Linked DNA regions of Schizosaccharomyces pombe. The protein of the gene in region 1 interacts with the protein of each later gene in a pairwise test. Each region holds a gene or a part of one and is shown in the gene's direction. Other genes may lie near its edges.

Region 1 (4,352 bases):
TGTCATTATTCTGCCAATCCCGTGAATGTGGAGGGTCAAATTGGTTTCAAGATCACTGTTCAAGAGGACGAAGAATCTGATCCTAAAGAAAAGATTTTGACTGCTCATGAGGCTAGTGTCCGTCACTTACGCCGTCTTACTGAGTCTGCTGAGGACTTTTTGGGTACAAAGGTCAACGGATGTGTTATGTCTGTTCCTGTCTATTTTACTGACGCTCAACGTAAGGCTCTGGAATCTGCTGCCAATGAAGCTGGACTTCCAGTTTTGCAGTTGATTCATGACCCGGCTGCTGTTATTTTGGCCTTAATGTATTCCGAAGAGGTTCTGATCGACAAAACTGTTGTGGTCGCTAACTTTGGTGCCACTCGCTCTGAGGTCTCTGTTGTATCTGTTAAGGGTGGTCTAATGACCATTTTGGCTTCAGTTCATGATGAGAATTTGGGAGGTGAGCAATTAACTGATGTGTTGGTTAATTTCTTTGCCAAGGAGTTTGAAAAGAAGAATGGAATTGATCCTCGCAAAAATGCCCGTTCCCTTGCTAAGCTCCGTGCTCAATGTGAGATCACTAAGCGTGTACTTAGCAATGGTACTACCGCTTCTGCTGCTGTAGACTCTTTGGCCGACGGCATCGACTTCCATAGTAGCATTAACCGCCTTCGTTATGACCTTGCAGCAAGCGCCACTTTAAATCGCATGGCCGATCTTGTAACCGAAGCTGTTGAAAAGGCAAACATGGAGCCTTTTGATATTTCTGAGGTTATTTTAGCTGGTGGTGCCTCCAATACTCCCAAATTAACTTCCTTGATGGAATCCATTTTCCCTGAACAAACTATCATCCGTTCCTCTAGTTCAGTTACTCCTTTGCAATTAGACCCTTCTGAACTTACCGCGATCGGTTCCGGTGTTCAAGCTTCTTTGATTGGGCACTTTGATGCTGCTGACATTGCTGCTTCTACTGATGCACAAGTGGTTGATGTTCCTCACCTTACTGCTCCTATCGGTATCAACGAAGGTGAGAACTTTGTTACTATTTTCGACATCGAGACTGCTTTGCCTGCTCGAAAGACTGTTGAGGTGATTGCTCCTAAAGAGGGTGCTGCCTTTATTCCAATTTATGAAGCTGAGCGTTCAGTAAAGGTTACCAAAGTTGAACCGGAGCCTATTGATGAGGAAGAGGCATTTTCTGATGATGAAGAAGAGGAGCCAGAGGAGATTAAAGAGCGTATCGCTATACCCAAGACTTTGATTGCCACCATTACTCTTCCTGATGTTTCTCCTAATGCCAAGATCGAGCTGGTTCTTCAAATAGATGCTGAAGGGAAATTAACGGCAAGTGCACGTCCTAAGGATGGCAAGGGAACTAACGTTCGTGGATCTACTGCATAATTTTGGCTTGGCTATAAAAAATCATAAAAATTTATCTATGTCATAGTTTTTTTTCTATGTCTGATCTGTTGAGAAGAGGGTTTAGGAAAGGAAAGCTAGAATAGCTGGTAGACTGTATTAAATTAAAATTAAATTACACGGCCATTTATGCATATAAAATGTTTGATTTTTTCATTCATGTGACGTAGCAATATTTTTCAAAAACTGACAGTTTAAATTGACTTACTGAAAGTAAATTTCATGTACTATACTTCAATAATTTTATTCAACTTCCACTTCGTGATTTATATTGAGAGAATGATATGATGTTGCTGCAAGGAAATGTTGGTGGTGATAATTTTATAAGTATACGACGACACATTCACCTAATACAAACAAATTATGTTTGAGATGGTTGGAATAGTTTTCGTTTAGTTATAAGACAGACCATTTTAAATAATTAAAACTCGTTGTGGACATGATGAAGGATTATTATTCAGAAAATGGTTTTGAAGAAATTTTTGAAGAGAAAGGTTCGACCAGCAGTAATATATCGGACAATTGTGCATCTAGAGATTACGATGTAAATATTAGTAGTGACAACCCTCGTTTACTCGATTCATATCGTCCGAAAGGAAATTATGGAAGGGACAGGAACTCACCCCTTTCTAGACACATCGGTGTTCCTAATCAAGAAATCATTCTTCAAGGGTTGACTCCGGAAATATTAGAAGAACATGTGTGATTCAGACTTAATTTTTATTGAAGGAAATACTAACAAAAATGCGTGAAGATTGAACTTGCGTTGTACGCCACGGGTGCTAAAGTTTCTACTGTTACACTAATAAGAGAGAAAGAAACACAAAAATCTCGCTGTTTTGCCTTCGCTAAATTTGTTTCCTTACAGGATTCTAAGGATTGGATGGAAGCCAATTTTCCAACGCTGGTCATCGACGGTATTGATGTGTCTGTACGTTTTTCACGTGCGGCCAGAGAGCAGATTGAGGGTTGGTGTTGCCAAAATGTAAACAATTTTAACAATTAATATTGTTTTTTCACATATAATTTTTTTTTACTTACTAACTGTTGGAGTAGTGTGATATTCTAAATTATTCATATAGAGAGTCTTGCTTCAAATGTCGTGTGCCAAGGAATCAGGCTTCGATTGCTATTGGAAATCATAAAATCAGTAAACGGAATGGCGACATGGATGTAAGTGATGTACCCTCAGTATACCTTATATTACGAAACCTTGACCGTTCACTTTCTGAAGAAACGTTATGGAAGGGACTTTCCAAATTAGAAATTGACGTCCAAAGGGTTTTCATGATTCGATATAAGTTTAATGATGCGTTTTGTGGTTATGCCATACTAGAATTTAAAGATGTAGATGAGTCAGCGAAAGCACTTATGAAAGCCCGCACGTACCCGGGAAAGGGCTTCACGTTAGCTTCTAGGAAAGTGTCTGTTGATTACATTCATGATGGAGTTTTAATTCCTGCATATACGGAATCTGCAAGATGGCAATTTCCTACAAAAACTGGTTATCTCGTTTATTGGGACCCAGAACTATATTGCTCGATCTATGTTCCTGAAGGCATTGATACAGATCAGTTTAAACCAATTGAAGTAAATAAGAAACCAAAAAAAGAAAAGCGTGCACGATCATCCAATTACATAGATGTACCTGCTTCTAAGAAGGTATGTGTCTTAATGTTAGCATAAACCTGCTGATATGTATAGGTTGCCACTTCATTGCAAAGATGGAATGATGCGCAGAAGGAATTAAAAGACAATATCCCTGATCTCTCTGAAGAAGAAGAAAAGTTGCTTTTACACTTTGTGTGGAAATCGGCTTTAATATGCGTTTTGTGTGAGCGAAAGTTTCAGAGTTGGGGCCATGTAGTAAAACATATTACTCAGTCTATTATGCACAACAATAATCTGAAAAACCACGAACTTGTCTCTTCTGCAGAGCTTTTGATGCACCGAGTTCGTCAAACTGAGTCTGTTGATTACAGAGATCGCGCTACTGAACGTCGAATAGTACCTGCTGCTTCTAGTGATACAATAGTTGAGGCTAAAAAGTCATCTCAGGGCTCAAGCTTTCACTCCACCTCTAATGTTAGCATGAAAATGCTTAATTCTATGGGATGGAACAAAGGAAGTGGTCTTGGTACTAACGAAAATGGGATCAAGGAAGCTATTCAACCGACGATGTATTTGCCCGGTGTTGGACTTGGCAACAAGGGGAGTAAAATACAGATCAACATGACTCCGGTTGACAGAGTGAAAGACCGAGCAAGGTCTTTGTATTTTCAAAATGATAAAAACAATAATTTATAATAGGGAATTTTTTTATTTGCGTCGAAAATCTCTTAATATTACAGTAATTTAATACCATGATTTTATGTCTCCTACTTATGCTTATTGTGTTTGAGGAAATACAAATTTTGTAAAGTATGGCAATTCAATACTAAACGTCTAATATTCTATATAAAGTAATTTCCCCTTGGTATATTAAAACATTGGAATTCCGTACAGTTTAAGAGAAACACTTTATTTTTAACCGTATATGCCCTTCAGGTTACATTTCTAAAGTTTCTATTATTTTGAAACTACCCAAAGTCAATCAAATCAGTACTGAGTTAAATAGGGTAGGGTTTTTATGTGACTGCTCCTGTAGATACAAAACAAGCATTTCGCGAAATTGCAAACTGTTTTTACCACCTACAGTTTATAAAGTAAAAGTAGTCCAAAACAGGTATGAAATATTAAATATTACAAGATGTGAGCGGAAGTCTATTGGTACATTTATTCTTCAGTGAATACTTGAACCCAATGGGTGGAACCTTTTTTTCTTGAAATCTTTAAACAAGACACTCAAGAAAACTAACGCGCTTCTCGTCAGAAACACAAAATGGTTCGTCAATCTGTTCTCGCTGATTGTTTAAACAATATCGTCAACGCCGAGCGCCGTGGACGTC
Region 2 (6,528 bases), on another chromosome or scaffold:
GGATTCCTATATAGTGGATTATGTTATTTAAAAAAATCTCTTCCTAATTCCCAATTCTGGAATGAAGACTCTTAATTTAAAAATGACCTGTTAAATTTGGGTTTTTTTTACTTGGTTAAAATAATGGATATTTGGTTGTGTATAATTTACTGGATCACTTAATAAAATGTTAGAATCCTTTGAATAATAATTTGTTTAGTGGGTAACTGAAAGAATGATATTTATCCTCATATGTATTTTTTTTTTGTGGAAAAATGAATTACGAGTGATGGAGAAAAGCCGATTTGCAAAAAAAGATGTAATAACGTCAGATTCCTTCAAAGTTGAGAAAGCCGGACATTAAAAGAATCCTATAATACTTCTTCTTAGTAATTTCGTTGGTCCAATTCCATGCACTAGTGAGCCGACCATCAATACAACTTCCACCATCAGATCCCTGACCATTAAAACCATGACGAAAAAAGTCTAACAAAATTGTTTTTTGAAGTCCATTGACGCTTCCATATTCGTTTTCGATATACTGAACCAAGTATGGATCACGTAAAAATTCTAGTTGCTGTAAAACTTTGACCAATGGCGCTAATATGTGAGGTACTTGGCGATATTTGTCAATAAACATCAGGGCATTAGGAACATCCCTATCACCTAAGTGTATTACAGAGCTTCCCATCCAAGGGATTTCTTGTTGCTTCTGAACGGATGATAGAATCCTGGTAACTGTAGATCGAACTAATGGACAAAGCTGAACACGATTTAAACCTTGGCCAGTGTCACTAATGAAGTACCTAGAATGTTTATCGAGTAAAGAAGCGTCGCTCTCTAACCATAAAAGAAACATTTGGTCCATCATACAGGACCAAAACACTAAACTCTGATCAACATAGAAAAATTGAGTTTTATGGTCGTGATTTAATTTGGCACCAGTCATATATCCAATCTTTAAACTACCATTTTTAGTGTCGTGTGGATTAAAAAATTTATGTAAATAGGCACGCATCTTTTCCACAGGATTTCGATTAGCTAAAAGGAAAGCTTCATGATCAGCTAAAGAAGCGAAGCAGTCCGTAAGCACTTTCTGTAATTTTTCATCTTTTCCTGGATTATACTTTTTCAAAAGAGTTTCTGAAGCTTCTTCCCGTTCTTTTAACAGTTCTGCTTTGGCATTGGCATTACTTTGAGGATCGCTCTGTTTTAAAAGATTGTTTAAAAGCTGTTTCTCTTCAAGCAGACCCAAAAGTTTGTGCTTTTCCAAAACATTGTATACAGTTTTTATGGGTGATACGAAATCAAAGCCAAGTTGACTACGAACATCTGGAATTAAACTGTCTTGGCACATATACATAACAGCACCATATGTTGCACGCATTTTCTCGGGATTCATAATTTTGTATCTCCTTCCAATTTCAAAAACGGTTTGAAAAAACCTAGCATTTGATTTGTGGTCTCTTCCAATTAGTAAATCACGTCCTGCTTTAATATCCATTGCAGTGACAAGTCCCATCACTATACTGCACATTTCGTTCAAGTATTTTACCATCAGTTTGGTCCTGGTGGTATAAGAGATAATGTCGACATGGCCCGTATAATCAATTACTTCAAGTCTATAATTTCATTGTTAGTTTTGGTCGATCCACCAAAAACAGATACGATCGTATAATTTTATGTCCCGAGAAACGGGAAAGTGTTCAATAATAATTAAATAATGTAACAGTTCATATACAAGAGAAATAATTTATGCGAACAGTTCTTGTAAAAGTTTCACATAATCGCGCACAATCAAACACTTTGGAAATAACTATTAGAAAAATATTTCTTTATTGGTAATATTTTAAAATAAGGAACCCTTGAACATTCCACATTTCAAACGGGACTCGGCCAACAGGCATTTCCATAAGATGGATTTACTTACGCTGCTTCTAACAAGCTCAAAATTTTTCGTTCCTCATCACTTAATCTTACAGGGACATATTTTGATTTTTCTACCCAACTCTGGTTAAACAATTGAGCTATTGACATTTTGGTGTTGGTCAAGTACTTTCCTAACTTTGCTAACCAATTCTAAACACTTGTTTTGATAAATTCTGACTACAACAGCTCCATTGTCAAGCTTTCATAAAGATTGAATATTTAAGGAAGTAAAGTATTTAATTCCTTGCTATAAATTACATCTTTGGACGATTGATTTCAGTTATTGTACGATAAAATATAAACCAAAGTTTTGAGGTGAAAAGTGGCTATTTCGACTAATTAGTCAACTTGGCTGTTTATTTGGGAGTATCTTGAATAATTGCTCAATTTTCAATAAGTCTCTCTTTTTTTCGTCATTCTGATTACAAAATCTCACGTTTAGGATTTTTTGTGCACTGATCTTTGCTTACCATTTTCCGGTAGTAGAAGATACTTAATTTACATTTTTCTAACAAGGAAGAATAATTATATAAAAAAATTTAAATTATCGTGCACTTTGTTTGCAAAAAAGAACGACTGCCTCAAAATTCTGAAATGTCATTTTTCCAACTAGAAAATCCATAGATAGAAGGACTTGGCTCTTACCATTATAGGACCAAATGTACCAGCAGCATATCTTTTACTTTATCACTGGAGGTATCTTCATCTTATGGATACTTGCTCATAGTTTCTTTGTCAAAATTATCTATTTATGGGCTTCTGGTTGTTTGTTGTGGTACTGTTTGGAGACGAGAACGTTTGAAAATAAAAATAATCTTGGAACATCTGAGCCATTTCTTGTTAACCCAGCTATATTCCAAAAACGAGCGCGTCAATTGGCACTTTCCAAACTTCTTCTTCGTCAGCCATTATATCCAGGAATACCTGAAATTTCTGAAGAGATAGAATCCATTATTTCACATTTTATGCAAAAATATATTAAGGTATGGTCTTATCAAATTATTCCCGAACCGACAATTTCAAACAGTATAGAATCCCATTTGCGAAAATGTCTTATGGTGTTATTAAGTCGAGTTGATGAAATTGATCTTGCTGATGTTTTGGTTAAAACAGTTCTACCACTGATTACAAAACATTTAAGATTATTCGTTGAAGCAGAACAGCTTGTTGTAGGTAATAAGGCAGTATCCTTTACTGACCATTCTGAACTGTCTCGTGAAGTTGCGGCGAAATATGATCATGGGAGATTGCATGAAGCAGTACTTCTTTCTGGAAATCCCATGGTAGCTCAGAAGAGATATTTACGAAATTGGACGACACAAGTTTTGTCTATTATTCTACCGAATTATTATGAAACCAGCCCTCTTGTACTTTCGCTCGTTACAGAGGTTATTATTAATACTACATTATTACCGCTAGTATCTTATATTTCAGATCCTGATTTTTTCAACTATTTAATTATTCAGGCTAGCGGTAGTATAATTCAGCGTCGGCGAAAGATTCGTCGTCTGAAACGTGCCATTCGCAAGCAATCTAATCACTTTCAGGTTGGAGCACGTCGTCTCCGATTAAAAGATAGTCAACACTCTTTTGAACAATATATTCATGAAATTAAAAAAATCTCTAATATTTCAGATGCCCGAAGATTACGTTCTGAACTAATGGTCCAAAGGCGTCAACTTGAACAGACCGAAGCATTTGATTTTGAATTTAAACAATATAGGGAGCGATTACAGATAGCTATAATTACTGCTGAGAAAAGGATTTCCTTACTTTCTGGAACTCCATTTCAGCATAAAGAAGCGGTGCTATTTGAACAAGTGCAATCACTACTTCAAATCCTATCTGACTCGGCGGCGGTTTCCTGTTTTCTCGAATTTATGGAGAGAAAGAACAGATCTCGCTATTTGCATTTTTGGCTTGTAGTTGAAGGCCTAAAAGAATCACAGGATGATCCATTGAATGCGCATATGATTGCGCCGTTTTCCGATATCGTTTCTGACCATACAGACTTTACAGCCATTGTCAAATCATACTTTGAAAGCGTCGATAACCCACTGGACATCCCAAAGCCTCTCACTAATACAATTAATAAATTCGTTAACCAAAGTAAAGATAACTTAAACCCTGATCTATGGGTAGAGGCTAGGAATGCAATGCTTATGGCTCAAGAGCATGTGTTCGATATCATGCAGAACAGTGATTATTCTGAATTCGTTAACAGCGAGATCTATTACAGGTTCCTAGCCCAAGATGTAGTATCTGATCATAAGTCTACCAATTCTTCTGCCACGTTCAGTAGATTAGAAGAGTTGGGCGAGAACATACCAGCGATATCAAAACAACCTTCATATCTTAGTATTTCTTCGTCGTCAAAATCCATCAATTCATCTCCTTCTCCCTCTATTCAGTTATCTGTCTCTTCGTCCATTTCTCGGGATAAAAACCTCTCTCCTTTGGATTTAGAATTGGATGATCCTACCTATAGTGATGAAGAAGAAGTTTTATTTGCTCCACCAGGTGATCTCCAACTTTCTGAAAGTATCGATGAATTAAACAATAACATCGAGGAGTTGAAAGCTCAATTAAACGCTATCAACACTCTTATAAAGAAGGCTGAGCTGGTTGCTGACCAAAAGCAATTGAAAAGCCTTACTAAAAACCATCAAGAGATTGAAAAAGCAATTCACCGCAAAGAACGTCAACGAGATCAGTATATGTCGCAAGAAGAAGACAGTAAACTCTTTAATCGCTCTCGGGTGTCTATTGATTCATTTAAAATTAGCAAAGAGGAGAACACCCCAGACTTTGCTGTTTACACCATACGCATTGAACGACTTGAAAATGGACATGTCCGTTCCGGATGGATGGTGGCTAGACGGTATCGAGAGTTTGCAGAGTTGCATAAGCAGCTAAAGCAAACATACCCTGGAGTCAGATCTTTAAAATTTCCTCAAAAATCGATCATCACCTCTTTAAACAAAAATGTTTTGGAATATCGAAGGGGTGCTTTAGAAGAATATCTTCAATCATTATTCAGAATGCCAGAGGTTTGTGACAGCAAAATGTTGAGGATGTTTTTGTCACAACAAAATATCACAGCACCACAAATGTTTAATCCTAAAGAAGTTGGCAAAAAATGGAAGCAGCTTTTAGAAGTCTTAGGGTTTGAAGTTAATAATTCTTTCAACGCATCCAACGTTAACACTAACTCGTCATTCTCAGGTCCCATCTCGGAATTTTTAGTCGAATTGTTTTCTCCAAATGACGATGCAAAGCAGCAATGGTTACCGAAAAAAACTTATATATCGATATTGGAACAACTTTTTGGCGGAGCTTTGGAAAAGCGTATACGACTACAACTGTTTCAGTTGTTTACGCCTGAGAAGATTTATAGGAAGTTACGCGAGTTTAGACGAGGACTTGAAGGTAAATCTAATCATGATCACTCCAAAGACCGCCGTCATTCACGGGCGCGAAAGCCAGCTTATGCTGATAGGAATCAATTGAAAGCAGAAGCAGGGATTTTGCTTGCTTCCATGTTTCCCGGCTATACACCTGATATTGCTGTGAAAAGAATATTTCGTATTCTCCAAAACCAATCTCTAAACGCTCATGTTATATACACCCTTCTTGACGAGATTTTGCTGGCTTTAAAGAAACACGCTAGATCAACTAATAAGGCAACTTGAGTGTCACTTTTTTACCTCTCTTGTTAAATCATAGCAAGAGTAATCATGTTCATGCTTTTCTTTAATCATATAATGTAATTTCTTCATAGGATTTGATAATACTTTATTACAATTCATCCACTAGATAATTTCAAATCCTGTATTGTTACTGACTTTAAAAGAAGGGTTATACCATTTGAAGTACAAATTATGCGTAAAAATTAAAGCAAAAAGACTTTTTCATTTTAGCCAAAAACTATCAAATTACTATGATTTTTCTATCCCCTCTCCATTTTCTTGCATAAGCAAATGGTGGCTTCTAGTAGCGATGTCGGGTAGAGTAATCTTTTGGAGAAATAACAAGACCTTTACCTTTTCTAGCACCACGAAAAATAGTTTCTATAATATCGATCATCTCTTGTTTATCTTCTAACGGCCAGTTGATTTTGTTATTGTTACCAGTACCTAAGTCAATCATCATGTGTTTGTTTCGATAAAAAAACATTATTGTAGTTCTGTCATAAAGCTCGTACATCTAGATGGTAATAAGGTTAGCAACATGACTTTCCAACTAAGACTTAGACTTACCTTGTTGAAGTCAGGAACTTCGTCAATGTCCACTAAATATATGACAGCCATGTTGACGACCTTTTCAGCAATTCTGTATAGGACTTCATCTTGTTTTATACATTCTTCATCCTATTCCGTTACGCGTTAGTAAATTAATCCGCCTACAATATTAAATAGACTTAATCCAAGTAGATATCGACATTAGAACATACATGATCTCTACCAAATCGAATGACAACCAAGCGCTCTTGTTCTATTTATAAAAAAAAAGGTTAATAAGCTGATTCGAAGTTGTGAAACGAGAAACATTCTACGTTTCTTAAAGTTCGCGTACCTGATAAAATTGCTTGATCAACGTGCCTATAAACATAAGTTAGAG

What was found.
Region 2: the proteins of rbm10 (region 1) and snx12 interact in a two-hybrid assay, tested with the Schizosaccharomyces pombe proteins (one large-scale study listed by BioGRID).

The regions. Positions count from the first base shown.
Region 1 is NC_003424.3:1,512,123-1,516,474, reverse strand, and holds rbm10 (RNA-binding protein), read left to right. Parts: upstream 1-1,740; 5' UTR 1,741-1,846; coding exon 1,847-2,104; intron 2,105-2,158; coding exon 2,159-2,389; intron 2,390-2,460; coding exon 2,461-3,066; intron 3,067-3,108; coding exon 3,109-3,711; 3' UTR 3,712-3,792; downstream 3,793-4,352. Other genes in the region: ssz1 (putative heat shock protein Pdr13), read left to right, coding at 1-1,386; rps2202 (40S ribosomal protein uS8), read left to right, coding at 4,286-4,352.
Region 2 is NC_003421.2:872,041-878,568, forward strand, and holds snx12 (sorting nexin Snx12), read left to right. Parts: upstream 1-2,050; 5' UTR 2,051-2,567; coding exon 2,568-5,600; 3' UTR 5,601-5,763; downstream 5,764-6,528. Other genes in the region: U3 snoRNP-associated protein Utp13, read left to right, coding at 1-31; SPOM_SPCC16A11.03C (uncharacterized protein), read right to left, coding at 308-1,601, 1,910-2,016; U4/U6 x U5 tri-snRNP complex subunit Dim1, read right to left, coding at 5,899-6,114, 6,168-6,278, 6,362-6,402, 6,484-6,509.